4 linked regions of the Drosophila melanogaster genome follow. The protein of the gene in region 1 interacts with the protein of each later gene in a pairwise test. Each region holds a gene or a part of one and is shown in the gene's direction. Other genes may lie near its edges. The genes, in order: CG14770, Atg4a, CG5539 and CG30060.

What was found.
Region 2: the proteins of CG14770 (region 1) and Atg4a interact in a two-hybrid assay, tested with the Drosophila melanogaster proteins (one large-scale study listed by BioGRID).
Region 3: the proteins of CG14770 (region 1) and CG5539 interact in a two-hybrid assay, tested with the Drosophila melanogaster proteins (one large-scale study listed by BioGRID).
Region 4: the proteins of CG14770 (region 1) and CG30060 interact in a two-hybrid assay, tested with the Drosophila melanogaster proteins (one large-scale study listed by BioGRID).

The regions. Positions count from the first base shown.
Region 1 is NC_004354.4:1,364,443-1,372,327, forward strand, and holds CG14770 (uncharacterized protein), read left to right. Parts: upstream 1-4,806; 5' UTR 4,807-4,917; coding exon 4,918-4,932; intron 4,933-5,170; coding exon 5,171-5,611; 3' UTR 5,612-5,734; downstream 5,735-7,885. Other genes in the region: ssx (sister-of-Sex-lethal), read left to right, coding at 6,866-6,928, 7,009-7,332, 7,473-7,580, 7,644-7,825.
Region 2 is NT_033779.5:1,076,094-1,085,448, forward strand, and holds Atg4a (Autophagy-related 4a), read left to right. Parts: upstream 1-4,817; 5' UTR 4,818-5,150; coding exon 5,151-5,334; intron 5,335-5,484; coding exon 5,485-5,827; intron 5,828-5,883; coding exon 5,884-5,963; intron 5,964-6,026; coding exon 6,027-6,572; intron 6,573-6,695; coding exon 6,696-6,778; 3' UTR 6,779-7,285; downstream 7,286-9,355. Other genes in the region: ast (asteroid), read left to right, coding at 1,942-2,475, 2,532-2,972, 3,028-4,617; CG4629 (uncharacterized protein), read right to left, coding at 7,926-8,743, 8,801-9,043, 9,108-9,216.
Region 3 is NT_033778.4:23,801,539-23,809,577, forward strand, and holds CG5539 (uncharacterized protein), read left to right. Parts: upstream 1-3,272; 5' UTR 3,273-3,400; coding exon 3,401-4,291; 3' UTR 4,292-4,441; coding exon of another isoform or gene 4,442-4,597; 3' UTR 4,598-4,606; downstream 4,607-8,039. Other genes in the region: CG30177 (uncharacterized protein), read left to right, coding at 109-729; CG13561 (uncharacterized protein), read right to left, coding at 2,777-2,932, 2,994-3,158, 4,442-4,597, 4,658-4,711; Ssrp (structure specific recognition protein), read right to left, coding at 5,017-5,562, 5,623-7,194, 7,272-7,325; CG5543 (uncharacterized protein), read left to right, coding at 7,821-8,039.
Region 4 is NT_033778.4:13,420,829-13,428,178, reverse strand, and holds CG30060 (uncharacterized protein), read left to right. Parts: upstream 1-4,531; 5' UTR 4,532-4,575; coding exon 4,576-5,184; 3' UTR 5,185-5,201; downstream 5,202-7,350. Other genes in the region: ATP8A (ATPase 8A), read left to right, coding at 5,454-5,577, 5,676-5,859, 5,920-6,080, 6,143-6,340, 6,472-7,350.

The DNA.
Region 1 (7,885 bases):
TTCCATTGTGTAAAATGTGGGAGTTCGATGTGACATTGTTTATTCGAACCCTGAAGGACCGATTGGTCATGAAGGCTTTAATAAGGTTATAAAGCCTAGGACCAATGCCCCAGCGCTCGAGTCTGCAAAGTACGGCGTGAATCCCCACGCGATCGAAGGCTCTTTCAAAATCCGTCGCCAAGATAGAGACGTGATTTTTGGTCGAAAGAGCGTTCGACGCGAAGTGTTGGATACGCAATAACGCGTCCATCGTGCTATGATTACTTTTAAAGGCAACTTGATTATGGGAAATTAGGTTGTGGCGTTTAATGAACCAGGTAAGTCTTTGTGCTATTATTTTTTCTAGTGTTTTTCCCAGACAGGATAACAGAGAGATTGGACGGTAGCTGTTAATATCGGAAGGGGGTTTGTTAGGTTTTGATATAGGGATAATGATAGCCGATCTCCATGTATGTGGGTATTTTCCAGTGGTTAATATTTGATTAAAAATGTCTAAAAGTTTTGTTTTTAGGTGGGGAGATAGGTTTTTGAGCATAGGGTATGATACTCTGTCAGCCCCAGGGCTTTTCCCTTTTGCTTTTGCTACTGAATTTTCTATTTCGAGCAATGTGAAATTGGAATCTAAGGATGTAGCCGATGGGGAAAGTGAGTCGATGGCATAGGGCTCTAAAAGATACCGATTTTTTACTCGTATATATTCTGCTGAAAAATTTTGGTCAGAAGAGTATTTAGACCAAGATAAGGCAAACTCTTCGGCGATATCAAATGATCCAGTTAGAGTACCCGAGTTGGATTTGATATATTTGAACGGAGTGGGAGGGATGCCGGCTAGGCGTTTTATATCTGACCAGACCTTTTTTGTGGAGGATACTGGGGAGATTTTGGAAGTAAATTTTTCAAGGGAGTTACGCTTGGCCGAAAGTACAGCTTTTTTGAAAAGCGCGTTTGCTTTTTTGTATCGGATAAGGTTTGTATCATTCGTATTGGCTTTGTAGGACGAGAACAAGCGTTGCTTTTGGTCCCTAAGCTGTTGAAGGTTAGCGTTCCACCATGGCACCTTGGCTTTGTGGATCACCCTTTTCGTTTGGGGAATGCTATAGTTTGCAGCTGAACGTATGACTTTCGTCATTTGTGCGACTTGCTGATTTAGGCAACCGACCGTCCAATATGCTGCTGATTTTTCGCAACTTTCGTTAAAGCGTTTCCAGTTCGCTTGGTCTGTCTTGTATTTAGGCAGGGGTAAAGTGTTATCGGGACGGGTAGGTGTGTTTATGTGGATGGTTATGGGAAAGTGGTCACTTCCATGGAGATTATCTGATATAGACCAGCTGCACATATGGGCTATCTGTGGAGATATCAGTGAGATATCAATGTGGGTGAACGTATTGTGAGTTGAAAGGTGAGTCGGGGAACCGTCGTTAAGAACAATTAGGCTGTTTTCAAGAATTACGGTTTCAATTTTTTTACCCCTTGTATTTGTGCGAGGTGAACCCCATAAAGGACTCCATGAGTTAAGATCACCCAGGAGTATTGTGGATCCGTTAAGATTTTGAAGAATTTCTGATATGTCAGAAGATGAAAAAATTTGACTTGGTGGGATGTACGCATTAACAATATTAATGACCTGTTCAAAATTAAGCTGCAGTGCGGAGCAGAGTATGCTGGAGTTAATGTTACGGTATGTATGTGGGACATTCCTTTTAATAAGAACACCAATGCCTTGTTTGGCTGAGGTGTTATAAGAAAAATTGTGGAAGTAACCACTATATTCTTTGGGGCAAATAAAATTTGTAGAATTACATGGAAGTTTGGTTTCCTGCAAAAATACAATATCGGGTGCATGGTCTTTTATGAGTAGTGTCAGTTCGTTGTAATTATTAAAAATGCCGTGGATGTTCCATTGTAATATAGTAATTGTCATGATTAAAAATTTTTTTTTTTTTATTTATTGTTTTTTGTTGGACTGTTATTAATTTGTGGTGTGTGTATATGAAGGTAAGGGTGAGAGGATCAGGACTAGGAATCGGGATCGTCCATAGTGTCTGAGTCTGTTGTGTTGATTTTTGTTTGTAGATTTGAGGTTTGTGAAGCAATTGATTCGTTTGAGTTGGATCTTGAGGTCATTAACGTATTGTTGTCGTCGTTGTAGGTTTGTCCTAGTAGAGCGTTTGCTTCCGCCCTAAGGGAGCGAGATCGTTCGATGCATGTTTTTTTTAGGTAAGAGAAATCAGTTTTGTCAGAGGTGCTTGGGGAGGAAGTAAGATTCTCTTCGAGATTCAAAGAGTTCGTCCGAGAAGTGGGATACGTTGGTGAGAGCGGAGCTGGTACTTTTGTCGAGCTGGTGGGCAAGTCGGTGTTTGTAATCGTGTTAGGGTTTCGGGATTTTTTGACAAGCATCACGGATGCTGTGCTTTGGTTTGCGACGGTCGAGTAGGTAAGCGTGGGGTTATTTGTTGTGTTTTGTTGTTGTTTTAGTATAGTGCGAGCTTCATAGAAACTGCATTTTTTGCTTGTTTTGATGTGGAGCAGTTGTTTTTGTGTTTGGTATTGTGGGCATTCGGGTGAGGAGGCTGGATGTTGGCCGGTGCAGTTTGCACAGAAAATGCGAGTGCATGGCACGGGAAGGTGGGGAGCGAGATTGCATGATACACAGGCAGGTGGGTTTTTGCAGTGCTTTGATGTGTGGCCTAATAATTGACAAGACTTACATCTCATCGGGTTGGGTATATATTCTGACACCTTAACTGTGTGCCAGGAAACCGTTAGTTTACTGGGAAGAGTGAAACGGTCGAATGTTACGAGAACTTTTCCAAAAGGTTTGGGGGTGCCGTCGATCATTTTGGTAAATTTAAATACGCTGTGTACATTTTGTGATTTTAGTTCCTCAACAATTTCGTTTTCTGGAATGTTAATAAGACAGGGAGCGTAAATGGTGCCTTTGACAAAGTTAAGAGTGTTGTGGAGCTTGCACTCGATATCGCATAAGCCAGGTAAAGAAGTCACTTTGATAAATTTGTCACTAATTTCCCTGGAGTTAACCAGCAAGAGAAGGTTACCATCCCGAAGATTAGAGATAGATGTAATGTCTTTGCTGATATACTTAAGGGCTCTATGGACAGCAAAGCAGTTGTAGTCGGATATGGTTTTCGGAGAGTTTTTTGATGAGACCACTAAATATCTCGGATTTTTGCACTGCGTTTCAGGGAGGTCTGGGAAATCAACTTGTAATTTTTGAAAGGGTCTTTTTTTCTTAGCTTTGGGGCTAGCGCTGAGACTGGCAAAGCGATTATCCCCCAAATTGAGTGGCCCGGGGGCCATGGTTAATAAATTTATGGATATTGAATGTTTTTGATTTGCACGTACGCGTTGATAAGAAGATCAAGAAGATAAGATGATAAATATCAATGTAACGGCGATGGTAATTACGCGATAAGCAAAGCTCACACAATTGGAAAGACACAGACGTCCGCACTCGAAGAGAGATAGTCGGTGACTGCGTATCCTAAATTAAAAATGATAAATTAAGCTGGGTGCTCGGTTCTTGGGAGTAGGATCTAAGCATAGAATAATGATGGGGGACTAGGAAACAAGCCTTTTACTGGATTCCCGAACCAGTTACGCTATTCCTTTAATTTTTACTTCACAGACTTGGTAAGCAGCACTTCCTGTCAATTTATGGAGTTATATAAGGAGATTTATCGCCGGATTGATAATTAAAACTGCTCGACATGTCGGGTGCATGTTGGACATGGACTCGGCAGACTGCAGACTGGCGGCGTGGTGGCGTTGTGGCTGTTATGCAAATCGTGCGACTGGGAAAGCAGTTTACTTTTACTTTTCAAATCGATTATATGTGCACACAGCCGCCATTTCGTGCCCGCCCAGAGCACACTAACCCACTAAATCGCTTCAAGTGGTATTTTGGCATTCGGAACGAAATGGGTTTGGGCTATGCAATTCGCGAGCTTCCCAAGTGGAGTCGTTAACCCGCCGCCGAAGTCATTATCTAATGGTAATGTGCTGCATTTTAATTGCTCACTTCGTTCGTTTATCGATCGAAGTGGACGCACCTTTCACCCGACACTTGCAGCTTGCAGTGGGGATTGCGAAAATCCCTTCTCTTCATCTCAATCCATCATTAATCCATTCATCATTAATCATCAATCATCAGGGATTGGCCCATGAGTGAACTGTCGCGAGCAATCGGGAAGTTGTCTATCGGTGGCTATCGTTGGGATTGGGAAAACGATTGGCAATGGTGATAAACTAATAGAATTGCAATTAGCCTATAGATGGTGTTTACTGCCCGATCATTAGTGCTTGTCCTTGGAATTCAGAAGGATCTTTCACGTGGGCAAAATTGATTACATTGGGCCTCTCTTTCCGTTTTGTGATTTTTTCTATTTGCCTATCTTTGACCGTCTAATTGCCTTGCACTTGCATCGAATTTTTCAACGTCAACTGGTTTTTCAACTGGGTGGTTGTTAACCCGTTGATTGACAACGGGTTTCGGTTTCTCCTGCGCAGGAAACTGGCCGCCGCCGCAGCAAAGGCCACATGCCGTATACGTAATCCGCTTTAATTGAACCACTATCGCACGCACCTATTTTCCAAATTTTCCAAACAATTGTGGCAGGCAGCGGTCATAAATTACAACAACAGACTGAAGTTCGTTGCCGTGTGTTGCCATTGTTGCTGGTGTTGCACATTTCACATTTCGCTTGCCACAACTCCAGCTACAGGTTGGCCAGCGTTGGTGGGATTGGCCCAAACCGGGTATAAATCGAATCTGGTCCCGAACGCAGAGCCACATTCAGTTCGCCACTGCCAAGAGGAGCACTTCGCGTAACGGTCTACAGTTTCGAATATTTTTTTTGATTGTGCCCCAGTGTGTGATTCAAAAGCAACCAGAAAACCATGCTCAAGTTGGCTGTAAGCACCGAAACACTTTACAAACATAGATTCGTTTAATGGAATGAACGTTTTCAAGTCAATAAGATAGTTTATGAAAAACAAGAACCAAATATTTCTGAATATTTCGGAATGGAAAATGGAATGCATGTTCTGTTTTTCAACCTCACCACCTCATTAACAACTTGGAAATATATTTAACATTAGATTTTTAGTTTAAAATGGAATACCGCATTGACTATATTACCCATTCCTGCAGATTACCTGCCTGGCCCTTCTGGCCGTTAGTGGAGCTCTGAAGATCCACGACTACCACCAGGGGCACGAGGAGTACGAGCACCACGACCATCATGAGCACCACGAGCCGGAGCACCATGTGAAGTACGAGCCGGAGCACGAGGAGACGGAGCTGCACCACGAGGTGGACCACAAGCACGCCACCTCGCACCAGAGCGTCAAGTTCCACCACTACCATGCCGTGCCCGTCTACATCAAGAAGGAGGACCAGCACCTGGTGAAAAAGCCTATCGAGATCGGCGGCACCAAGCAGAAGCTGAAGATCCTGCACCCGAAGAGTGAGCACAACCACAACCACGGACTGGTGCTCGAAAACCACAGCGAGTCGCACCACGAGCACGGCCACTACGAGGAGCCGGTGCACCACTCGGAGCACTACGAGCACTACTCGCACCACGAGTAGGACTTGGACTACCAGAATCGGAAATGCCAAATGAGCTGTGGGGATTTCGTTAGCGTTTAAGGATTTGCTACGTTAATTTTCTTGTGTTAATAAAGCGTTGACCTAGAGTATAGAGTACCACCCAAATCAAGAGATCTTATATTATATTGCTTAAACTTTTTTGATTGCTCCACTCTGAATTTGCCACAACTTCTTTCACAGTGTATTTAACTGCTCAGGTGAACTTCGATAACGATCTATCAATAATTGAACGCGCAGGCAATTTATCGCACCACGACCGCTTGTGGTATTTCTGTGTTCTGGTATATTTTTAGGTTCAACCCTGGCGAAAAATTGTTTTTGGCATAACTGCTATAAAGTACTGAAGAAATTCAATAATAATCTTAACAATGGCAATTAGACAAAAAATGGTTTAAAACACTTGATGCCTTCCAGAGGCGGACGGCATGAGTTATCGAACTATCAAAGAACTGCTGGCCCCGATAGGTTCCGATACAAATCGCACCGCTATCGAAGAAGAATTGACTTCCATTGTATATCGTTTGGAAACGCAAGAAGTGCACAAAACTCGCTGCTTTCCGGTGCAGTTTGTGAAGAAGTTTGCTAAAAAGTGAGTATTTTGCACCTGCAGAGTATTCCGTGGCCGCCGCTGGCTGCTTCCCGAGGACTCCGTGCTGCCTACGCTTTTTCGTGTTGCTTTTTTCGGCTGCACGGCCCCAAGCCAAAAAACACGGACGCATCGCCTGCCGTGTGTATGTGTGCGTGCGTGTATGGGCGAGTGCGCGAGTGTTGGTAGTTACTTTTCCAGCAGCTTTTTCCAAGTATTGCGGGTAGCGCCGGAGTTGCTATTGGGACTCCCTGGTACGGACCCCTAAAAAGACCAGGGGCGGGCAGTGGCAGGCTACCGAGTGCAACCGCATTCCAGCAAAGCTGGCGCCCTCCGTCCGGCTCCTCCCCCTTGGCTCGGCTGCCGAGATGTACACACACATATTCGGATTCTGATTTTGCCGAGAGGAAGTGCAGTTCCGGAGTCCCGAGTGTGGAGCTGCGCTCAATCTGCATCCTGCAGCCGCGCAACAAGGAGCATCGCTCGTCCCTACTGCGACTCCTAATCGGAATCCCTCTTGAACTTCTTCTTGGCGAACTAATTGATTTGCACTCTCTTGTATCGTTGCAGCTCGTGGCGCCAACTGCGACGCAAACACGCAAGAAACCCAGACAAACAGGAGCTATCAAGGCTTGACACAGAAGGTCATGTCCAACGCGGATAAGATGCAGGACCAGGAGCACGACGACGAGCAGTCCTCCGACATAGAGGTGAGTTTTTGGATTCTCTTAGCGAGCCGACGAACCTGTTTTCACGCGTATATTCCCGACTATTCGCTGCTTCGGTGCAGGGATCCGGCGACAATGTGGGCCGTGATGACGGCACCGACGATGACGACGACAGCAACGGCAACATGCAGCAGGAGAATGGAGATGGCGGCAACGGTGGCGACGGCCAGGAGCACTCTGGCGACGAGGAGCAACACCACAGCCAGGACAACGAGGGCAACGATAACTCCGCAGGCCAACAGCAGCAAATGCAGCAAGTGGACCGAACCAGCGCCACCAATCTGATCATCAATTACTTGCCACAGGACATGACCGACCGCGAACTGTACAACCTCTTTAGCGGCTGCGGGCCCATCAACACCTGCAAGATAATGCGCGACTTCAAGGTAAGTTCGGTTGTGGCCGCCTGAGCGCCCAGAATACCTGCTGAACTGCACGTAACAGGTGCCATCCCTGTCGCACGTTGCATGTACACACGAATGCAGCTTACACTCCCCTCTGCTTTGTATGCCCGCCAACGGAACAGACCGGATATAGCTTCGGCTACGGCTTCGTGGACTACAAAACGGAGTCGGACTCGGAGGACGCCATCCAGAAGCTAAATGGCTTCTATGTGCGCAACAAGCGATTAAAGGTGCGTTAGAATCCCCCGGAATTCCCATGACTCCTTTGTGACTCTCTTTTTCGTCTCCCTCAGGTGTCGTATGCTCGACCGGGTGGGCAGTCCATTAAGGATACGAATTTGTACGTCATCAACCTGTCGCGAAACATCAACGACGACATGCTCGACCGCATCTTCTCGCCCTATGGCCTGATTGTTCAGCGAAACATCCTGCGGGATAAGCTCACTGGACGACCGCGCGGCGTTGCTTTTGTGCGGTGAGTACGGGTGCGATCTGCGTGTGCAGCATCCACGATTCGAAATTAGGTCACGGTGCT
Region 2 (9,355 bases), on another chromosome or scaffold:
CGCAACAGCTGTAGGAAAACTATAAACCACATTGGGAAATGCGTTTGGGATGGGGTGAATATGGATGGCTACGCCTTTTGCGGCTCTCTAAGCCCTGGGATGAACTTTTGTGCTCGATTTCCAGTTGCCAAAAAGCGCCGGAAATTGCTGGCAACTGTCGGTGGTCGCCAGATCGTCGGCATATATGCAATGTCTGCAGCAAAGCCCCCTTTTTCATATGGAAAATGAACCTGATTCTCGAGCACAGCGGCGAAAATTACATAATCGCCGGGCAAATGGGAGCACAGTCATATCGAAATTGTGCCAAATTGCAACTGCAGATGATAATAACGATAATTTATTTCTCCCCCAGTGAGATGTTTCTATTATACGAGCAATTTTCTGGAATCAGCGGGTGCCTAATTTCGCCCGATTTTCTCTGTTTCAGCAGCCAGGGAAAACATTTCAATTCTTCTATTTTTTCTGGTTTTTTCGGCCCACCAACAGAGGTTTTCTCTAGTTTATCGGCTTTCCCGAGGGTTTTTCCTCTTTCCGCTACCTGCGAATACCTGCCCCGAAAAAAAGAGGCGTGGGAATCGCCGAACATACAGGAGGTGCAGAGTTGGGAAATCGGAAAAAATTGCAATTGCAGGACGTGTGAAAATGTGCGGAAGACAGGAAACGTGGGCCAAGACCACTCGCAGATTTCCCGGAACGGCCTTGGCCAATGGGAAAGGGATTTTTCCCTGATTTTGAACTCACCTTTTTCGGCAAAGAGGGAAGTTATATATGTTTCGTATCCGTAAAACGAAGCTCCCAAGACACCAGAAGAACTCTGCACACACGCACTTGCTTTTGAACCGTCTTTTTTTTTCAACTCTAGGACGAATTATCGCACGGTTGATTTACGTTTTTTGCTGGTTTGGCTTAACAATTTCCTTTTGGAACATTTATTTGCACACAATTATTTATTAAATGCCGCACACACACACACAGGTGATTGGTGATCGATGATGGGCCGTGTGTGGTTGTGTTGTTTACGTACGTGTGTGTGTGCGTAGAGCACGCCTCGCACACACTGACAAAAATTCATTCACGACACGGTGATCACGATCGTCGCTCTCGCTCGCTCACTCATGGTGTTTTTGTGTGGAAAATCCAAGAGAAAAATAATACTATGTGAAGCGCAGACGAAAGACGCACAAAGCTGAGTTATTAACGTGTGTTATTGTTGTTGTTGTTTCTCGTTGCTACTGGATGTTTTCTGCTGCTGTCGCCTTGTATTTACTTAATTTCATATGCATATTTCGCCCATGGTTTTCTTTTTTCCGCTGCTTTTCCTTCTACCTGTGCTTTAGTTAAACGAACACACAAAAACAACACACACGCACGCACACCACACTCCGCGCACACACACACGCACGCACGAAACGAGAGACGCAAAGGTAAAGTGGTAAAGTGTGTGCAAGAAAAGCGACAAGAAACGGAACGGAACCAACGGAACCCGTATATATGCACGCGCTCTTCGATTCAATGGCGATTTCGGTTTCCACTGCACTCGCTGTGTTTGTGCTAGTACATTTCCCAGTTTCCTTTAGATTTTCGGTACAAGTGTTGCTATTGCTGGCGAATTTTTCTCCTGGCCACCGCGTAGCACTCGCGACGTTACGATTTTTCGACGTTTGATGCGCGGGTGGAGAGCAGACAAGCGTCGGGTTGGAATTGTCGGGACAGAGTGTGACCGCGGCGCCATCCCCGGAATATACCATCCGGCTGCGGGAAATACCCTAGATACCAAACTAATCGCTCATATATACCAAACGGCAGCGAACGGCCACGCTAAAGAATCGATATGTACATCGATAGTATCGCACTGCAAACTGACATCACTATTAGCACGCTTTTAAAGTTTGTGCAAAATAGGTAAATAGAAAATTGGGAAAATAGGCAAGCGCCGGGAAAATGGGAGTCCGCGGCCTGACCAGTTACATAGCGCAGCGCGCGGAGATCTACCTTAAGCCGCACGAGCTGCACTCCACGGCGCTGGTCATCGATGGCGACAACTTGAGCTGCAATCTGTACAAGGATGTCACCGGGAGCTACTCCGCCTTCGGCGGCGACTACGACGACTTCTACCGCGCCGTGGTGCAGTTCTTCCAGGTTCTGGCCGAGTGCAACATTCGGCCCTATGTGCTCATGGACGGCGGGTACGAGGAGCGCAAGCTGAGGACCGTTAGCACCCGGCTGCGCAACAAGATTTCCGTGATCAAGAAGATAAACCCCAATGCATCCATCACGCTGTTCCCGCTGCACCTCAAGGAGGTTTTCGTGGACGCTGTGCGCGACTGCGGAGTCCCGGTGATGAGGTGCGTCTTTGAGGCGGACGACGAGTTGGCTGCTCTGGCCAGGAAACTTAACTGCCCAGTGCTCTCCTACGACTCGGATTTCTACATCCACAACGTCAAGTACATCCCGCTGATCACGCTGACTGTTAAGGTAAGGCATAAGTTATTTGGATTCCAGCATATACTAAGCGATTCCATGTACCCCAGGTTCTCACCAAGCAGGTGAAGGACAAGAACAGCAGCAACCAGAAGGACAGTCGAGATCTACGTCACTGCGAGGCCAAGAATGTGAAGAAGCGCACCAGGGCCAACAAGATTGTGACTGGCATTCAAACCACAGGGCTGACAGCCAGTACAAAAGGCAGTTCCAAGACCTACAAGTACCTCGACTGCTGCATCTACCGGGTGTCCCATCTCTGCGGACGAGGAACTCTGAGTCCCGAGAAGCTACCCCTTTTTGCCGCCCTCCTGGGCAATGACTATATTGCCCGCAGTGCCTTCAAGAACTTTTTTGCTGCGGGAATGGGCAAAGCAGGACGAAGTCGCAAACTAAAGCTCCAGCAGAAGCGCATACAGGTCATCCTCACATGGCTGAAGGAGGAAACGGCGGAATCTGCTCTGGCTAAAGTGCTGTCGAGACTGAAAAAGGTTCGTTGCTTGAGATATCTTTTTCCGATTTATGCTAAAAATAATATTCTTGCAGAACCAGCGTGATTCCCTGGTCTCCCAAGTGAATGCAGCCATCTCTGGTTACTCCAACGAGTTGTGCCACGCCTACGATTACTTCGATGAGCACTACGAGAATGCTTTTCCTTATATAGAACCCGTCAGTGAAGAGGAATGCAGCGACGATGAACATTCGTCTAGCTCCGATGAAAAATTTTCAGATGTCGAAGAAGGCGAGGATCAGGAGGAAGCTGATAACCAAGATGAGGAGCAGCAGGAAGAAAATCAAGACGTTGATTCGGGTGATGAAGAAGAAGAGGAGGCGGATGAAGGCCTCGAGCTGGAAGTGGAAGACAAAACGCTACTCTTCCCACAATGGTTTCTGGACAAACTATATCCCGCGCACCTGCCCCGCAGCTTCGTGGACCTTATGCACCTGCGCAAGTACATCAACAACCCACAGATCGAGCACTTTCCCTTCCACGACTCCAATGAAGTGGCCTTACCCATCCTGAACTACGTGTTCGCTCTTCTCCATCACGTAGAGTGTGAGAAAATTGAGCTACCATTAGAAGTGGATATGGATATAGAGGGTTCGACAGTCCCCTATCTCACCTACCTCACCAGAGCTCTGCGAGTGACGAACGTGAGGTATTTCAAGATGCCCATTGAAAAGAAGCCTGCCTATCCGTTTGATCCTCTTTCGCCGGATGCTAGGCATTTAAGAGCTGTATTCGAAGACAATGCTCCCAATGCGGATACGGAGAAGTTGTTCAGCAAGCTCGACCAGTTGCCGGAGGACCTGAGGCTGTACTTTCTGGCCATTATCTACTGGTTACATCGCTCGGAGCACTGTGATTTGCTGCATCTTCACTCGCTGATCCTTAGTTTGGTTGTCCTACGAACCATAGATGTTACAATCCCTGCTGAACGAGAGGTGAAAACCTTCCTTAAAAGATTTGGCAAGACATTGAAAGCAGAGCGAGCAGTGAGGGATAAGGAAGCTGCCGAGGGAATTAAGCGCGGCATCAAACCTGCTCTGCTAGAGCTTTCTGTTCCAGATCGGATGGCTCATGTACCCAAATCGGACTGCTATTTAACTCAGGAACGCCTACTGCCGCACTTCCATATGCAGGAGATCTTCAAAAAGAAGTTTGACTTGTACTCCACCACGGTTATCCACGCATTTGCTGAATTTCAGGCTGTGGTTTACCAACTCAATGGGCTAAATTCTCTTTTGGATTTTCCACTTTTGAGTCCGAGGATGAACCAGCTTTATTGCGGCGCCTTTCTCTACAACATGTATGATGTACTGAGGAATCGTGCCGATGTCCGCTACCATGTTGAGAACTTCCTGCTGCCCGACTCCAAGTTGATGTTCGATTTCTATTGCTACTTGTACGACTGGTGCGCGGAGTTTATACCAACTTGGAAGCGATTGGAGGTGGATCCGACGGCGGCAAAGGCCCTGCAGAAGAAGCGATTGAAGAAGCAGCGTCAGGCGGCTAGGAAAGTGGAGCTAAGGGAGGCCATCGCGGATCCCAATGCGGAAATGGTCGAGGATGCCGATCCAGAAAACGACTTCTTCGATCTGAACAACAAATTCTGCGCACTCAAGGTAGCGTAGCTAGTTTGAAGTCCCGCACGTGCAATTTTGAAGTTTTTACATTGTTACAAATCTATACTTTGCGTAAAATAAGAAAAAAATTAAATATTTTTTAAAAAACTTCATTTTTGAATGCATTTCATTAACAGTTTGGAAAAATACTGTTATTTCCTATGTTATGGTCATGTTAAGTGCAAGGTTCGGTATTTTGGCAAAGTAAAATACCTTATCAGTTGCGGTCATACTAACAGCTACGTCACTGCGTTGTAATCAACAAAAAAGAAAAATAAATCAAACTAAACCAGCCGCAGACTGATCAAATGCTGGTTATCGCATAGTTTGTAATCAGCGCCCGTCACTGCCAACAACAAATGAAACCCCTGTGACCTCGGGCCAGAAGCAGGAGCATTGCCGTTGCTGCCAGCGAAAACACAGGCCAAAACAAAGGCCCACCCGAAAAACAGAACGTCATTCGAAGGCAATTATCGTATAGACGAGCAGCGGAGGCCCTGGTGTCCACCCCCTTCTCCTTCTGCCAGCGCACCGGGCAGTAGATGCTGGTTGGACTCAGCGACCAGCTAGCGCGGATCATGGAGAGCGTCTTCGAGGCGTACTTGGGCCCAGACAGCGTCCTCGCTAGTGCAGTTGGCCAGGCGGTGGGCAGCGGAGAGCCGGAGGACATTCCCCGAAGAAACACCGACGTCTGGGTCCTGGGAAAGAAGTACAACGCCATACAGGGTAAGATGAGACCTTATTTAATGCTGTCATATGGGTACAAATCTAGCATATTGGTCAGCATGAGTCATAAGGGGTTTCCCAAACCTTTTTTCGATTATCATCGATGGATACCAAACTGAAATCCATAATCAACACCCTATCCCTTTTCAGAGCTAGAGCTCATCCGACGGGACATTCAGTCGCGCCTGTGGTGCACATATCGCCATGGATTTTCGCCGTTGGGAGAAGTCCAGCTCACCACGGACAAGGGCTGGGGCTGCATGCTGCGCTGTGGTCAGATGGTTCTCGCCCAGGCCCTGATCGACTTACATTTGGGACGCGACTGGTTCTGGACGCCGGACTGCCGTGATGCCACCTACCTCAAGATCGTGAACCGTTTTGAAGACGTAAGGAATAGCTTCTACTCCATACACCAGATTGCCCAGATGGGAGAGTCCCAGAACAAAGCGGTCGGCGAGTGGCTGGGACCGAATACAGTAGCCCAGATTCTCAAGTAAGACCATTGGCCTAACATGGTGGATAAGTGGTATAATCAATTGCTGATTTCAGAAAACTAGTGCGCTTCGATGACTGGAGCTCCCTGGCGATTCACGTGGCCATGGATAGCACAGTGGTATTGGATGACGTATGTAAGTGTGGAAAATGGCCTAAATAGCCCGACTATTTGCCTAACAACATTGTCCACTTTGTAGATGCGTCGTGCCGAGAAGGAGGCTCGTGGAAGCCACTGCTGCTCATAATCCCCCTGCGCCTGGGCATCACAGACATTAACCCGCTTTACGTGCCTGCCTTAAAGCGCTGCCTTGAACTAGACAGCAGTTGTGGCATGATCGGAGGTCGACCAAACCAGGCTCTGTACTTCCTGGGCTATGTGGACGATGAGGTTCTCTACCTAGATCCTCATACCACGCAGAGAACGGGCGCCGTGGCACAGAAAACTGCTGCGGCAGAACAGGACTACGACGAGACCTACCATCAAAAGCATGCTGCTCGCCTGAACTTCTCCGCCATGGACCCCTCGCTGGCGGTTTGTTTCCTCTGCAAGACCAGTGATAGTTTCGAGTCCCTGTTAACCAAGTTGAAGGAGGAGGTGCTCAGCCTCTGCTCGCCTGCGCTCTTCGAGATCAGTCAAACCCGCGCGGTCGATTGGGACACCACGGAGGACATCGACTGGCCCACCATGCCGGACATCGATTGGCCTGCGGGCACCTCGGATTCGGACTCTTTTGCCATAGTTGGTAAGTTGGTTCTGTTGAAGCTGACCATTAAGACCATTATTTATAACTTCACAGCTTGTAATCTGAATCAACAGTCCGAAATTTCACTCCGATTTCACTCAATAAATTCACTCCATTTTCCAGAAGAGAGCGGCAGGGACAGCGACGCCGGCTGTAGCGGCGCCATTGGCAGCGGCAAAAAGCCCAGTGAGAGAGCCGTCATTTGAGAGGTCGCCGGCGGAGCGCCTGCGCCTGCGCCGCACCAGAGCAGATGAAGCCCAGCCAGGCGAAAGTGGAGCACCCAATGAGGAGAAAGAGAGTGGGCCGGGAGGTCGAGCCCCTGCGGATGCTGCGAATGCAATAAACTAAGGCTAAAGTGCATAATTAGACGAGTGGTTGAGATTTAGATTTTAGTATGTTTACGATTTGTACGAATGCGGTTCTTAGCGATTCATAATGCTGCTTTATTGTACGCGATTGACTCCACGGGAGACAATTTGGCAAAACACACACACACAGAGCGACACTTACGGACACATACCGCTTTTTGATGATCAATTAAACATTTTTATGCAACGTTGTACATTGAAGACTCGATGAGATCGAGGCAATCGCCTTAGCCCGGTGTGTATTTATATGTTTGTAATCGTAATATTCATTTTCCTTTCGTATATTCGTCTGTATATGCTCAAAAATGGACCAACAACTAAATACATAATACTTGGACTATATGTATATATCTATATATGTATATATATATGTATGTATGTATATATCAACTTTGCCATCCGCCTCTGGACTCAACGGCTGGACAAACTCAAGCTACACGAACCAAGGAACTTTCTCGAATGAGTAACCAGGATGAGGATGCAGGAATCTACGTTAACAACAAACACGCGGCTACGCAGCTGGCGAATTGACACTAATTGGGCTTGACCTTTGGCCTTCCGGGCTGATTCCCGCAGAAAGGCAAACTGGGATTTGCAGATCAGAGTATCCAACTGTCTCCTACTATCGGAAGATAATCCTTTCTATTCATATTCAAGCGACTTATGTTTCTTGCGCTTCGAATGCATTTAACTTTTGCAATTCATCCATCCTAATTCTCGATATTCTGGTTAAATTCTATGTTGTATTCACTATAAAATTTTCTAATCTCAATTTGTTGGTTCAAAATCAAGCACTGGATATTTAAAGCTGATCGAAACGGACTAGCCTCTAGTAGGAAAGGTTTTTGAGCTACTATTTGAGTTCCTTGAACCTTAGATTCCTTTCAAAAGCGACACACCCAGTTTGCCTTTCCTCTCGGGGAACTCAAAGACCCAGCGGAACCAGGAGAGTAATATGAACATTCAACAACTATTTTCGGATGTCTTAGAGTATGCAGCACGACCTCTCAATCCGCTTCTCCACCTTGGGCTCGCTGTGCAGTGCCATCTCCACGTGCTTTCGTGCCAGCCAGGACTGCTTCTGCAACCGATTGACCACGATCCTGTAGGCGCCAATGATGTCGGAGCGCGGCCCGCTCTGCCTGGCGTTGATCAGCATCTCGGAGGTGAGGCCCAGCTCGGCCAGGATCTGGCGTGCCTCGAACTCCAGGGCACCTAGCTGGCTCAGATCCTCGGTGTTCGTGGGCAGCATGACGCAGCTGCCCGTCTCCGCGTCGTAGTTCTTGAACAGGGGGCAATCCTCGGCCACCTCCACATTCCACGGATTGATCTTGGCCGAACCGATTGACTGTCCACCGTTGGCCAGCTGCTTCTCCGGTTCCGTTTCCATGGGCGTGACCTTCTTCTTCAGGCTGCCGCAGAACATGTACCTTCTGGTTGGACGCTTCGCCTGCTCGGTGGACTGTGGCTCCTTCAGCTGACTTGACACCGGGACCAACAGTTCGTGTCCCATCTCGATCGGTTGCAGGAAGTTCTGCACAAACATCTCGTCCTGCTGCCTGGTGTTCATGCTAATGGCCGGCTTCTTGACCACCTCCGCGTATCGATCCCGTAGTGAGGCGGACTTCCGCAGCCGATGCGACTTGCTGCGCACCCAGAAGATGGACCTCTTGACCGGCTTGGTGTGCTGGTTGATCTCCCACTGCATCAGATCGGCACTGAGCTTGGGACAGGTCACGAACTGGCTGTTCAGCATGTCGTCGATGGTTGGCCGCTGGGCGGGTATATGAATCAAGATGCGTTCTAACGAAGATATTAGGTTAAAGCAGTTTTTTTATTATTTAATATTTATCCACTCACGTATAAGTCTTATGCAGGGCAAGCTGAGCTGGCCGGGCAGCAGATAGTCACCCTTCAGGATGGCTGCTTTCAGGCCGGGAATCGTTGGTGCCCGGAAGGGCATGTTTCCGACCACCATGAAGTAGAGCAGGATGCCCAGGGCCCAAACATCCACGGGCGCCCCTATGTAGTGGTCATCGGAGAAGAGCTCGGGCGCCGCATACGGAGGGGATCCGCAGAACGTGTCGAGCTTTTGATTGGCACCTGTCAAAGGGAATGGGAAAGTTGATTAAATTGCCGACGCACTGGCTTGGCTGTTCACCCGTACCATTGATGAGTTGGGTACTGAAACCGAAGTCGGCCAGCTTGAGGCGATCCTCGGAGAGGAGCAGGACATTTTCCGCCTTTATGTCCCGATGCACGTAGCCCAGACTGTGCTGCAAGTGCGATTAAGTTCAATTAATTTTGCAGATGAAATAATTGAATATTGAAAACACGCATGCAAATTAATATTAAATGGGCCATAAATCTCTGTGTGAAAGATTTAAAATGCACGATTCCCCGTTGGCAATATTG
Region 3 (8,039 bases), on another chromosome or scaffold:
GAAATTACTCACAAAACACTCTCCACGCTTATCAACTCAGTTCGACAGTATACGAAACCCTTACATTACTTTTTTTAACTTGTTTGCCATTCTGTTTAAGCAGCGGGCATGCTGCGCTTGGTATACATTTACTATGGAACCCTGCTACCTGGATGGAGCAGCTTGCGGGCTATTGGACATGACCAGAGACACTTCATCGAACTCTGGCTGAAGTATTGGGTAATCTATGCACTGCTGCAGGGACTTGGAGTCCTCACGGATTTCCTGCTCGGTGGCCTATCCTTCTACGCTGGTCTCAAGCTTATCCTGTCCGTGGGCCTCTGGTTCAGTGCCCCATACAGCACCAATCACCTGTTCAATCTGCTTAACACGTACTCTATGGGAAAACTATGTCCAGTCGTCGAGAAAGGTGTTCGCTGGCACGAAAAAGTCTGTAGAAACATTTTTCGCGGCTTTATGAAATCACCACTGGTGACAGTGGTTATGCCAAGGGACGAGGATGAGCATATCACGGAGCCACGGATCAATAACCGTCTGCTGAAAAGAGAACTGTCGAATCTCATGACGCAGATTGCAAAGAATTCGGCCGACCATCGCCATCAGCATGAGAGCCCTATGATGATTCATTCCCCTCGGCATTTACGAGCAGCTGAACTGGACAAATTTAACCGGGAATCCATGCACAATGTCATCGATTATTTAGGCCAGAGAGGGGGGGACCAGCAGTAGTCCGCCCTACTATAAGCCAACTTCAGCCGTTCAAGAGGAAGGTCAGCCTGAGTAGCATTATTTGGTTTTCCTGCTCCTTCCAAAACCTTGGTGTTGAATCACTCTAGGGGAGTTTACAGAAGAGCAGCAGCTGCCATTAATCTTCAATTAGAAAAGTTCAATGCCAGCGGACGGGCATGTTAATTGATTCATGGATCGGCGCCAGGAATCGATGATCCAGCGATCAGTAGCGATTTGTTGGCCATTGGCCCATATTGTTATTACAAATTGGTGAACAAAACTGCGACCGATAAATTGTTGAAAGCAAAACAGAACACTTGCACGGACCTTTGGCGGCGATGCAGCTGATTAATGGATAACGCCGAAGGGCAGGCGAAAACAAAAGACTGAAGCAACGAACTTGCTGCGACGGTCGGGACGGTTGTTGCGGCTTTTTGGGGAATGCTGTTCTGTTGCTGTCGCTGGCAACAATCTTAATGCAATTAGCACACTATTAATCTTGATCAAAATCCGAAACTCAGCAAATTCGCAATAACAACCGCAATGTAAGTGACGCATTCGTCAGCGCATTGTAAAGCAATTTGTTTCAATTTCGTGGATCTGATTTGGCAAACAAATTTTCGATGGGGGTCGAACCAGCTTCTAGAAGCAATAAGGCGGTTAATCACTTGAATAACATTTATTGCTTTATTAATTTCCTGTATTTCATGTGATCGTACTGATAATGTAGAAACACAAGCGTTAGCTTTGCTTATCAGGAAGGAGATGGAATAATAAACTCTAATGATCTGTTGACAAAAGACAAGCAAACTATTAAAGTGTTCTATCTTTTTTTAATAAACGAGAGCATGGAAACTTGTTGTTTACCCAACAGATTGAAATTATACACAAACACATACATGTTTCTAAAACACCTTCCAACAGCTTGCACTTAATCATTGGCATTCAGAGGTTATTCCATCAGCTGCCTGCACCCACGTCGCGGAGTCATTAGCTCCTGGCCAAAGTTCCTTAGCCTTTGGCCGCGGTCCTCTCGATTCTCGGATGGAACGGGTGCCTGGGGTAGGCTCCATTTAAGTTTGGGTTAATCAGCGATAAAGCGCGCATTGCCATTGACAGCAAGGTGGAGCAAAAAAACGAGGCGAAGAACGAAGCGGAGTGCGAAATAAGATGGTGCATTTACATATTTTGTAAAAAAAAAAAATAACAATAATAATAAGACGTGCAATTAATAAATCGGCTTTGTCTCGCATCGCTAATTGTTTGCCATTAATTTGCATAACAAAATTAATTGGCGGCATTTATGCAAATCCCGAAAGCCCACAAAAAATCACTTCCTAGGCGATGCGGCTGTCGTTGTGCCAAAGATGACACCCCAGTGGAGATGGGGATCGGAGCCAAAGCCACTTGAATTGAAGTTCAAGTTTTCGCAATTGACCCACAAATTAATTATGCATGCATGCTGGTAATTGTGAATTTGCCTTTTACAATCGCACACGTAATGCCTCTGCGTTATTTCCGTCAACATTTCATTTATTAGACGCAATTACAATTGATTTGGGTTTCGGTTTCGGTTTCGGTTTCAATAGCTGAGATTTCTGTGAATGGGAATGGTATGGGAACCTTTTCTTGATGGCTTTTTGAATGCCTGCCTAACTGAAATGTCATGAACGAGCGTTCGGCTTTGGACAGGGTCAAGACTTTTTGGCTCATTGTGCGAAAGAAATTTCGACCGAAAACCGATCTGAATCAGAAGCCAATGCTCCTAACCTTGGATTGGCCGAAAATTATCCGAATGAGCCATGTTTTTCAGTGAAATCGGTTCGCGTTCCCACGTGTCAGAACCATTTACATATTACACTCAAATGAAATGCACGCATTAATAATTTTAATTAAAATCCGTTTATTGCAATTACAAAGGGATAATCAAATCGGAGAGCTCTTTTACGGGCAGTTAACAAATTTATGGCAAATTTATTAATTGGTTTATTGCACCGCGTCTGATGTTTATAACAAATACTCGATGCGACTCGTGATTTGTGTGCCTTTAGCGATACTCTGTTAATGTGAAGTACACCTTAACCTGGGCCAACTCCGATCGGTGGAAAGTGAAGGTGGTGAAGAGTCCGTAGTCCCCGAAGGGCAGGGGCATCATGTCCAGAACCTTGACGGGAAACCGAAAGTGCTCCAACACTATTTCCGGCTGTAATCGATAGAAGAACTGAAGTAAACATCATAATCAATCATTTCTTAGGCAAACTCACTGGAATCGGACACTTGTTCACATTGGTTCTGTTCCCGAAACTGCTCAGGATGATGTTAATGAAGGGATGATTCCGCTTCTCCAGATACTCGCACACATCCGACTGGCAGATATTGTAGAGAAAGGGCTTATAGCCACTGGCCTTCTTCAGCAGCTGCATGCGCATCTGAAGGAGAAACATATTGGTATTACACTAAGGTGTTGGTGCTATACGCCAGCAGGCTGTGCTTTACACTTTACACACAACTGGCTGTAGAATATCGCCACACTTTTAAACAAACAGTTAGATACACAGGCACATCGATCTTAAACTGCCAATTTCGATTATAGCCCATGCATTAAATTCGGAATTTTCCAAAAGAAGAACACTTATTCTGGCAGTCCTAGTATCCACCGTATATTTTAGATATGTGTTTCTTTGGCCTTGTTTCGCAGTTCCTGTTCTTCGTTTACGGCACCATGGGACCGGCCTGGCAAACCTATAAGACTCTGAACAGCGGAGACGAGGAGTTCCTGGCCTGGGCCAAATACTGGATAGTTTACGCCTTCCTGGTCACCTTCGAGGTGCTGGCGGACGTCTTCCTCTCCTGGCTGCCGCTCTACATGCCCACCAAGTTGCTCCTGGTCGTGTGGATCGTGCTGTCCGCTCCGGCCGCCAATGTCTGGATATTCGACGCCATCCTGCGTCCGGTGCTGGCAAAGCGGCAGGAGGAGATCGATCACTTCCTGCACCGGGGCAAGGAGAAGCTCCTGATCGACGCCCTCGCTTCGATGACACAGCTGGTGGCACAGACCCAAATCTCTGTACTGCCTTTCGTGTCCAGCTTCTGGTCGAGATCGAGCACTGCTCCCCTTAGGACTTCCGATCTGTTGCAGGACTCCACTGGAGAAGGAATTGGAGGCAGAACTTCCGAGGATACTGACTCGGCCAACGTCTCTGTCCAAAATCTGTCCAGTGGTTCCAGTCCCGTTGGCAGCTTAGAGCACCTCCGTGACGACTCTGAGGAGCTTCTGGTGGGCGTTTCGAAGGCCACCACGCACCTGCAGGCGGAGCAGTTCCAGAGCGACGTGTCGTCGGAATCACCCAGGATAATTAATCGCCGACCTCAGCGCAAGTTCAAGAATGCCATTGCTATTGCCTCCGCCACCAAGCTGGAGGACCTCCATGACGATGTGGAGGATCTGCTGGCCAAGACGGCGATGGAGACCAGCGGCCAGGAAGTGCGTCAGCAGCGTCAACCGGCCAGCCGTCGCCGTCTTTTAGCACAATCATTTGTGAAACCTCAAACAGGTTTATAGTTATTTCATTAATTCAAAACATAAATTGGTTTTAGGCATGGATAGGTTTCAAGTTGTTTAATTACTAGTGTTTTGGACTCGCATTTTCTACTATAGATAGCTATTCAACTATGGCATTCAGGAACGCCCTAGCTTTGCAAACTAACTCACCGATACCGGACCTTTTGGCCATCGCAGGATGTTGGCCCGCAGACTCATTTCGACGACATCCCTCTTTACGGCGTACAATCGGCACAGGGAAACGGTGGTGAAGTTTTCGTCCGCACTCAGGCACTCGATGTTTGTGAACTTGGCAACTCCTTGGACCTGAAGTGAGCTAGTGTTCGGTTCATAATCCCAGCCGGCCTAGCTTACGGTCGAACTTGCCTGCAAAATGTGCCACAGCCCAAACAAGAGGAATAACTCTGTCAACGTGGCCATCACTAAGTTCACCAAAGAGCCATTAAAAACTGGCAAACTGTGGCATTATAATGTTGACGAAAGTGGCAAAAGCCAGTCAAGCGAAACCATAATCGATAGATATCAATCATTACGGGCAATTATCAATTCTGTTTAATTACTTGAACTTTCGAATTGTTGTTGAGTTTTAATTAAACAAAAACGTATGGGTCTGTATCCAACAGGCAGCACTTAACTAAACTAGGCGAATGTAAACTAGATTTGGGACATGGGTGTGTGAGGAGCGTGGTGTGTGTTTATGGAATTGATTTGTTGTGTTTATGGCCCTAATCACTGGCCTCATCTTCCTCATCCTCATCGCTGGCATTGCTGTCCTCCTCGCTCTCCTCCGGTTCGCTCTCGCTCTTGGCCTTTTTCTTCTTGGCATCGCCGTCGGATGGGGGCTTGCTCTTCTTCTTGGCAGGCTCGTTGTCCTTCTCGTCGTCGGAGCTGGTGGAGTCGTCGTCCGAAATGTACTCCTTGCTCTTGAAGCCGCTGCCCGAGGTATTCGCCTTCTTGGATGGAGAAGGCTCCGTCTTGCGCTTCTTGGAGGACTTTCCACCCTTCTCGTTGTCGCTGTCACCGCCCGCTTCAGGCTTGTAGTTGCGCATCTCGTCGTGGTAGCGCTGCTTGTCCTTGGCCGCCGCATCCTCCCACTTGGACTTGTCCTTCAGCTCCTTCCACATCTCGCCGCCCTTCTTGGCGATCTCGGTAACCTTTATGCCCGGATTTTCCCTCTTGATGCTCTCGCGCGTGTCGTTCAGCCAGAGCATGAAAGCGGTGGTGGCGCGCTTGGGTTTGCCAGAGTCCTTCTTCTTCTTGGAGGGTTTCTTCTATAAAAACATATAAAAACATGTTACCATAAGCTATAATAATAAGCAAACATTACTCACTGTTCTCTCCTTCTCCTTGTGTTTTTTCTCCTTTTTCTCTTTCTTCTCGGACTTCTTCTCCTTCTTTTTCTTGGCGCCGTCGCTGTCGCCTCCGCCGCCACTAGCATCGCTGTCATCGTCCGAATCACTCTCCACGTTGCTGTCATACTCCTCGGCCACATCGGACTCGTTCTCGTTGGGCTTGAAGTCCTCATCCGTGGACTCTTCATCCGAGTCGCCATCGTCGTCGTCCTCCTCCTTTTCCCTCGCCTCAGCCTTGAGGCGAGCCAGATAGGCATCTGGTTCGTTCTCGTTGTCCGAATCACCAAAGTCCACGTCCTTGTAGCCGCTCTTGTCCTTGCCCATGTTGCTGACATGCAACTTCTTCTGTGTGATGTAGTCGAAGAGCTTGGCATACTCCTCCTTCTCGATGGAGGAGAAGATGTGAACAGTTCCGTTCTTGAGCGTCACTTCGAAGTCGAAAGATCGCGTGGATCCGCCGCTGCGGGCAAAGTTCACAGAACTAATCTCCTCAAAGCGGATATGCAGCGGTGGCTTGTGGATATAGATGAATCCTCGCTCCAGGGGATACAGATATCCAGCTGCAGCCTTGAACGAGCAGCCCACTGCAGCCGTGCCAGAGTGTCCGATAAAGTTACCGGGTCCGGTAATTTTTCGACCGATCAGCACCTTCATCACTTTGCCCATCACCTCGTACACCGGCCCGGAGATCTCTTTCTCCAGCTTGCCCTCGTACTTGTCTCGCAACTCGGCTTCCGAGAATGGCAGCTCAATGGTGGTCTCCTCATCGGGAGCAAACAGCAGGACCAGGTAGTGGTAACGCGTTTGTCCCTGCTTGATGGGCGGATCCAAGGAGAGCACAAAGAACATCTGTCGACTGTCTTTGTGGGGCAGCATGAAGAGCCGCAGCACCGAGTCCATGGGAATCTTGTAGTCGAACGTCTTGCCGTGCAGCTGGAAGAAGGTCGAGAAGATCTTGATGTCATAGCGACCGCGAGGCGTGAGGATCTGGATCTCTCTGAAAATGGCGATGGACTCGCCCGAAGCCGAGATGACCGAGGCCTTGCTCATTACGTTCTGGTGGAACTTGTCTACCGGATCCTCCTCGGCCGACTCCACGGCGGGTATGTGGAACCGCATCTCCAGTAGACCCACGGGCGCATCGTCGTTTTGGTGGAACTCCAGGGTGACCTCGTTCTTGCCGGTCACGCACTGCGAAACGTGCGACAGCGGCACCTCGAAGATGGTCTTCGACTCCTTGTCGAAGCTCAGGACGGAGCCCATGAAGCGGGCGGTGCCCCAGTTCCAGCCCTTGACGCACATCTCCTTCTCGACCATCTCCTGCGAGTAGGCAGCCTTGATAAACTTGCCCAGCTTCTCGTGCTCGCTGTCGCGGAATCCGGTGAAGCGGTGGAGCACGCCGCCTTTGGTGAACACCCTCAGTCCCCAGGTGCCCACGAACTTCTGCGAATTGATCAGGTCTATGTCCTCTGCCGAGATCTGCTCCACCTTGCCGGTCTTGGTGTTCTTGAAGATGATGTTCTGCTCGGTCATCTTTAGGCGTCCGGAACACTTTTTTGCGCGCAGGGAAATGGAAAACCTCGGTCATGCGAAATGTGACAAAATACGCCGGCTTTTTTGCGACTCACCAAGACTCCGCGCACTTCGGCGTTTATGTCGTTGTACTCCAGAGAGTCTGTCATCCTGCACTTCTTCCTCTCCAGTAACAAGATAATAGATCAACTATGTATTACGCCGCCTTGCGAAATTGTCACCAATTTACAATAATTCCGGCAGACACAAAACAACACTGCGCGCCTAATTTTAGGTTAGACGCCAGTCAGCTATATTAGAGTGACCGTATGTGTGTTTAGTATTTTTGAGTGCACTATTCTTAAATTGCAATCGATATAAACTCTTAATATTCCAATGCAGTTTCCTTTATTGTTTATATATATCTTGTTTGCAATACATGAACAATATATGAGTCATTATTAAATTGAAAAATTTTAATGGGCAAGCCAGAGCTTATTTAAAGACCATAACAATTCGCTCGATCTTTTAAAATACCAAATTGACAGTCCGAATATAAACGGTCACTTAATTCACTTGTTTACAAAATATTTACCGCATATTTTCAGAGAAATATAGTTTTAATTAAAAATTTGAAAATCCACTTAGCGTGGGGCCTTAAAACTATGCAACGCGGTAAAATTTCCTTCGGGAAAATCAAACTGAATGTAAACGTACCTCCTGCGGAGCCAAGATCCAACGAAACCGAGGCGGAAGATGCAAAGGAGTCCACTGAAGCCAGCGGAAATGGCGGAGGATTCAAGAAAATGGACAAGGAGCAGATGATTCGGCAGATCGAGGACGTGGCCGAAGATCTGGAGAGCCAGCACCTCAAGGAAGTGATG
Region 4 (7,350 bases), on another chromosome or scaffold:
CTTAAGGATGCGACTTTTCCCCCCTCAAAGTAAAAAGAAGTGAAAATACATCGTTGGCAATCGCGAGTTGCGTATCTGTTTATCTTTCTCAGATAAGCAGCACAAGTACAGACATCTTCCTCTGTTTTTTAAACTCATTACAGTCGGGTCAAAATTATCACCTCTCATTGGTGTAAAAAGATTCCGAACTCATTGCCATTCGTTTACTTAGCGGTTTAAGTGCGCACCAAATGTTTAATTTAGGATTCACTGACTTTTGAGATTATGACAGCCTATATCTGCATAAATATAATTAGTTATACATATTTGGATCCAGTAAAGAGGGAATTTTTTTTTATTCAAAATGCACACCATTTGGCATTCCTGCGGCTGTTGAATTTTATATGAAATCCGCAAATAAGTAAGTTCGCTTGGAATGAATCCAAAAAAAACCTACTTATTCCTATGTCTATGTCGGTATTTTTAGACGCCGTCGCGGCTGGCGGAATAAAATTTAATAGCGTCGCAGATATGTATATTTTGGTTGCCACATATGTTTACCAGATAGATCTACTTGAGGCGATTTACGTCAGACTCCATAAGACCAAATCGAATTGATAGTCATTCAAACGAATCGGTGGAGGAAAGCCTTTGCCTATAAATATTAAAGACTAATTTACCTTAACTAAGTCCAATTGAGTACATACATATGTATATAATTTTGTCGATTTTCCAGCCCAGTTGTAATTGCGTTTTGCTTGTGCGAAGGTCATCAGGAGTTGATTACGGGTACTTATATGTGCTCACAGAATGCAAGGCATATTCCAAGAAACTGGAGCAATCGATAAACCCCATTGAGTAGACCCCATAGACGACCACTGACTGCACCATTCGCCATCCATTCAGGAATCCAATTCTCAAATCCCCACACGTGCAACGCCACCGGAGAATCCTTTCACAATCGAACCCCCCCTATGGTCGTTTTAATGGCTCTGCGGGCGCCATAATTCGGTTTGTTTTTGTTGCTCCGGGTGACCATGTGGTAATGGCCGGAAAACACGTAGCGGGCACGCAAATAGATACTTTTTCGTCACTCATATCACTTGGTCAGTGCAGACAGCTAGAAAGCTACAAAGTCTCTTCATTAGCCTCCGATTTCCGAGGTCGATGATCGCTGCTGGACTTTCCTATCCACCTACGCTCCCCACCCCCCAAAAAAACATAAATATTTGAATTTATCCATGGCTAAACTACCTTTCGTGTTTACCTGGTCGCACGAGGCGATTTCCCGGGGGAACTGGTGGGTTGTTAGGGCTAATTAATCCAAAGTAAATTGCAGGAATACTGAATCAAAGCAACCGTGTAAACAGATATACAGAATAGCGTAGCTACAATGCCAAACCGCTTTATAATTAGATTTAAAGGATATCACATCAAGGATACCAGCTCAACAGTGACTATATATGCGGATCTAGGGGATATCGTGTATCTTAATGACGTTTTTCAGAGGCATTTTGCATTGATGATTGTTTGGTTGGCTTACTTCTTCGCGTAATGACAACTAAATTACCCTCATGGGTGGTCAGTAAATCAATACTAGGCCATGGAAAAAATAGTAGCAGAAATAGTAAAATATTTGCAATTCAAGTAAAACACGCGATTTAATCGAAGCACTATCTATCTTTATATTATTTATATTTATATTATAGAAAATCTCTCACACACAATGAGAAGCACTTGAGGCGAGTTTTCAGGCCTTAATTATTTACTTAATACTTTTCTGTTTACGGTTTCAACTGTTTTTAAACAAGGGTATACTTATTTCATTGTTAAATGATTCAATATGTTTCATTTACACAATACAAGTGACTCAAACGTGATTGCGCCTAATGACGATGAGTTGGCAATCGACTTTAGCGTGATATCTGAAATATGTGGACATATATATTAAATCTTCTAGTACTCGGGTTAATCCAGTCCAGTGTGCCTTAGCACACAGCAAGCTTTTGAAAATCAAGCCATAAATTATAAAAATCGGCAACGTTGAATTAAAATGACAGTGAAACGCAAAATCCAAAGTGCAATAGAATTTCGCGACAGCGAAAAGTCTCGACGGTCCTTCGACTGAAACCACTAATTGAATCGTGTCGTGTCGCAACAGATAAGATCTGGAAATTGAGTGAAAGGTGTACCCGTATATTTGCAGCGTGATTCAAGCGATTCGCGGAGCCATGTTAGGATGGCAGACTCCGGCAAACACGCGAGTGGTGGTCACAATGGAGCGAACAGCGAACGCAGAAACGACCAGAACGGACGCAACGGACGCAATGGACACAACGGACACAGTCAAGGACGACAGCTGCAGTTCCTGGACAATCCGCCCCCCAGCCAAGCCACCTTCAATGTGCGCAGTCTGTGGCCAAGCATAAAGTCTGGTGTTCGCCGCTTGAGGAGCCAGTTGCTCCGGCGGACAGCCACCACGGGTCCAGCGATGGCTCCGTCCGGTGGAGCGGACTTACCTCCCTCGGACAATGATCGGGCTGCGCCATCCAGAAGCGGTGACGGGAACACGGAAACAGACGGCAGTAATCCACATCGAAGGCTGGACGAATCGTCCGTGATGGGCAGTATGCAGTCAGTGAAAAATTATATTAAAAGAACACGCCCAGGCCGGAAAAAAAGAAAAGGTGCATATGTTTTTTAACTAAGCCATTATACTTGTTAAAGTATATATATAAAATATATATGTGCGTATATATAGCTTTCATATCCCAACTAACAAATGAATTTCTTTAAAATTTCTTTTTTGAACCGCACTTGAAATTTTTAGAAATTTTTTAAATCGCTACAAATTATTTATCAAAATTCCATGTGGTTAGTTATTATGATCTTGCCATAAAATGTAATATTTATTTTAGAAAGTGAAACTTACGGTCCACAGATTTTCTAGCCATAGTTATTCGGAAATATGAGTAACTCAATATAAAGTTGGGAAAATATGCTTCCTAGCATTCATTAACTCGCTTGCAATACGATATATGATAGTTAGGGTACTTCGTTGGTCGGCTCTGGTCGACCTTCAAATTCCAAGTCATTTCAAAACATTTGACTTAAGGCGCAGTCGCGTTCTCTTCGCGCTCTCTTTTCGTACGTAGCTCTCCCTTGTTTCTCACCTTTTGTTTTGCTAGCACGTTTCGCTTTCGCTTTTGCTCCTGCATTCCAAACACCCCCCAACCCGATCTCCCAAGCTTCCCAGTGGTAGGTACGCAGTGTTTTGGGTTTACTGATAAATCGCAAGCTTCATAAGCTCCTTTTGGAGAATGCACTACGCAGCTTTTGAGGGGTGGTGGGTTGGACTCAAGGGGTTTCCAACCTGGGGGGGGATGACCCCACACCCCGCACATCGGGAAACCCATCCCTGTTGTCCTTTCTGGGTCCTTCGAGCTCGTGGAAATTTCATTTCAGTCGTAGTATCGGAGCTCAGGAGAGCGCACATAGTGAAAAGTGTGTGGTGGTGAAAGTGTGTCGCAGAATATTTGCTAATTTTAAGTAACTTTAGATAATCGTTCGTCAATCAGTGTCAGCTAAGCTATTATCAATCAAATTAACTTACTGAATATATCAAAATCGTTTAAATCTGTTGGCCGGAAAATCACGTGCTTAACGCATTCAACTTAATTGTGACAAATCGATACCTGAAACGGAAAAGTGCAGGCACGTTGCCAGGTGATGGATGTGAAAAAGTTATACGACCAGTTGGCCACGCAAGGAACATTGGTGAACCACTTTGATTAGGTGGTCAAATGGTGCTCCGTAGGAATCCCTTCATTGGCCGTGTGTATAGGCAAATGTGCATGGCACAGAATCCTCCGTACGGGATGAAAATTGTGTTTTCTTATACGCATTGATTGAAAAAGAGGAGGCGCAGGCGCCATCCCACAGGACTACTCTTATACCATTTGCCAATCGCCACGCCCACTTGTGGCTGATTATCCTTGCCGAGGCTGTCACCAGTGACCAACTGCCCTCCATCCTGGGGTTTCCCAAGCGGAATCAGGAGGAGACCGCTGGCGAGTGCATTGCATTCGTGCCCGTGGGCGATTGCGATTCTGGATCCGACGAGCTACCCGGGCCCGAGGAAGAGGAAGCGGAGGAGGAGACGGTGGAGTCGGTGGTAGCGGCGCCATCTAGGGATCGGGCAGGACGCTTCCGTTGTCCCGCGCTTTTTCGCCGGGCCAAAATGGACTTTCGTAATGTCTACAAGGCGATGCGCATTCGTTGGAGTCGTAAGTGACTAGAAAAATATTCAAATCTTTCAAATGATGGGGAAATTGTGTACACAAATATGGGATTCTTTGAAGACCAACAGTCTATAAAATAGTACAACTGAAATGCGATCTAGAGTAACTACTATAGAAACCAAACAATGAATTTATTTATTCGATTGATCGATTGATCAGTTTTAATTGATCTAGAACAACAGACATCTGCGGTTCTTGTTGTTCCATAAACAATAAAAAAAGCTTATATGCCAATTATAGCAAGCCTAGCTCCTCTTTCCTGTTTTGTCAACCAAAATTTTGAAATTCCACCACCATGCTGGTGAGCTGCCCGATCCTTTGTCCAGTTGAGAAACTGGTCACGGAACTCAAGAGGCACCACGTGATACCCCGCCTCTTTGCCTGCAAGCCAACGAAGGTGATCAGTGTGCTATATCCCTGCGATATCGACATCAAACCGGGCATTATGGTAGTGATTAATGAGACGCTGAAGCAACCGATCATTCGGTTTAAGGCCGATCCGGAACACTATCACACGCTGATGATGGTCGACTTGGACGTGCCGCCGGACAATAATACGGAGTGGCTCATTTGGATGGTCGGTAATATTCCGGGCTGCGATGTCGCCATGGGTCAGACGCTTGTGGCCTACGACAACCGGCGGACCATCCACGGCAGTAACATCCATCGAATCGTCTTCCTGGCCTTCAAGCAGTATCTGGAGCTCGATTTCGACGAGACTTTCGTTCCCGAGGGCGAGGAAAAGGGTCGTGGCACCTTCAATTGCCATAATTTTGCAAGGAAGTATGCGCTTGGCAATCCGATGGCTGCCAATTTCTATCTGGTGGAATGGTTATGGCGATGGACACCAACATACCTCGTCTCGGAACATGAATTCGAACCTTCAAATGGAAATGAAAATTAATAAAAGCTCGAAGTTTTAAATTAGTCTTGTTCTTATAATACAGTTCTTGGGACGACTATAATTTCATACTTGTATGTCCTTGGTATATATAGCCATAATATCAAATCATTGATATAGTAGCATTCAAAAGATAATAGCCGATTACTAATCAGCAAAAAATGAGAACTTAATTGAAACATCGCTGTCCACGGTAATAAATGCCGTGTAATTTTCCGATTTCTCACGTTTTGATATCACCTATTAATCAACGTTTTCATACATATTTTCAGATGACGAGGACTTCACCTCGTCCGCTGGGTACGATGCAGATGATGGGGAGAGGCGTATCATAAACCTAAATGGGCCACAGCCCACTAAGTACGGTAATAATCGCATAACGACGGCAAAATATAGGTGAGTGAGTACGAGCCATTTAGCGCCTGATAACTATCATGACCTAAATGAATGGATTAGACACAAAGTAAACAACAATCTGTCCCATTTGCATGCAGTTTCATCAGCTTTTTGCCCGCGTTCCTGTTCGAGCAATTCCGGCGTTACTCCAACTGCTTTTTCCTGCTAATTGCCATACTGCAACAAATCCCGGAGGTGTCGCCGACGGGTCGTTACACCACGCTAGTGCCACTGATGTTCATCCTTTCGGTGAGCGCCATTAAGGAGATAATCGAGGACATTGTAAGTACTAAGAGTAACATATAGCCAGTTGAGTTGTTGATATCTTTCCATGATTTGCAGAAACGACATCGGGCGGATAATGAGATCAATCACCGATCGATAGAGCGCCTGGATAGTGGCTCGTGGTGCACAGTTCGCTGGTCGGAGTTGACGGTGGGCGATATCATCAAAGTGGGAATCAATACCTTCTTCCCCGCCGATCTGATTCTGCTGTCGTCCAGGTGCGCACCCAAGTTAACCCCAATTTGTTTTGATACTTTATACGAATCTGATGCTTCCACAGTGAACCGCAGGCCATGTGCTTCATAGAGACGGCCAATTTGGATGGTGAGACCAACCTGAAGATTCGACAGGCCCTCCCAGCCACCGCTGAACTGCTGGAGACGAAGGATCTGCAACGATTGGAGGGCAGGATCGAGTGCGAGCTGCCCAACCGGCATTTATACGAGTTTAACGGAGTGCTCAGGGAAACTGGAAAGCCGTGAGTAATTTGTTATTAAATAGTTATGTAAACAGTAAGAGAACTAATTAAACAATGTGTGTAGTCTCAGAAGTGACTTTTGTCACCCTACTGCTATTTCAAATGAATAAAAACATCTTTTTTTTTTGTAGACCCGCTGCTTTGGGCAATGATCAGGTGCTCCAACGTGGCGCCATTCTTCGGAACACGGCATGGGTGTTCGGGATCGTGGTCTACTCCGGGCAAGAGACGAAGCTGATGAAGAACTCTACCTCGGCGCCATTGAAGCGCTCAACCGTAGACAAGCTGACCAACACCCAGATCCTCATGCTCTTCATGATCCTCATCTCATTGTGCATCATCAGCGGCTTGTGCAATCTGTTCTGGACAAGGGAACATTCGGAAACGGACTGGTACCTGGGCCTAACCGACTTCAAGACCAAGAGCCTTGGCTACAACCTGCTGACCTTCTTCATTCTGTACAACAACCTGATCCCCATCTCGCTACAGGTGACGCTTGAGCTTGTGCGTTTCCTGCAGGCCATTTTCATAAACTACGACATTGAGATGTATCACGAGGAATCAAACACGCCCGCCATGGCGCGCACCTCGAACTTGAACGAAGAGCTGGGCATGGTCAAGTATATATTCTCGGACAAGACAGGCACCCTCACGCAGAACGTGATGGAGTTCAAGAAATGCTCCATCGCCGGATACGTATACACAGCTGAGCGAACGCCGGAGGAATCTCAGCTAGTGCAGAATATCCTCGGTCGTCATGAGACGTCCGCCGTGATAGAGGAGTTCCTGGAACTCCTATCGGTGTGCCATACGGTAATACCCGAGCGCAAGGAAAACGGCAACATGATCTACCACGCTGCCAGTCCGGATGAGCGTGCTCTGGTGGAAGGTGCCCAGAAATTTGGCTACATCTTCGATACACGAACGCCAAAGTATGTGGAGATCAATGCGCTAGGCGTGCGAAAGCGATACGAAGTTCTGAATGTCCTGGAGTTCACCTCGTCGCGTAA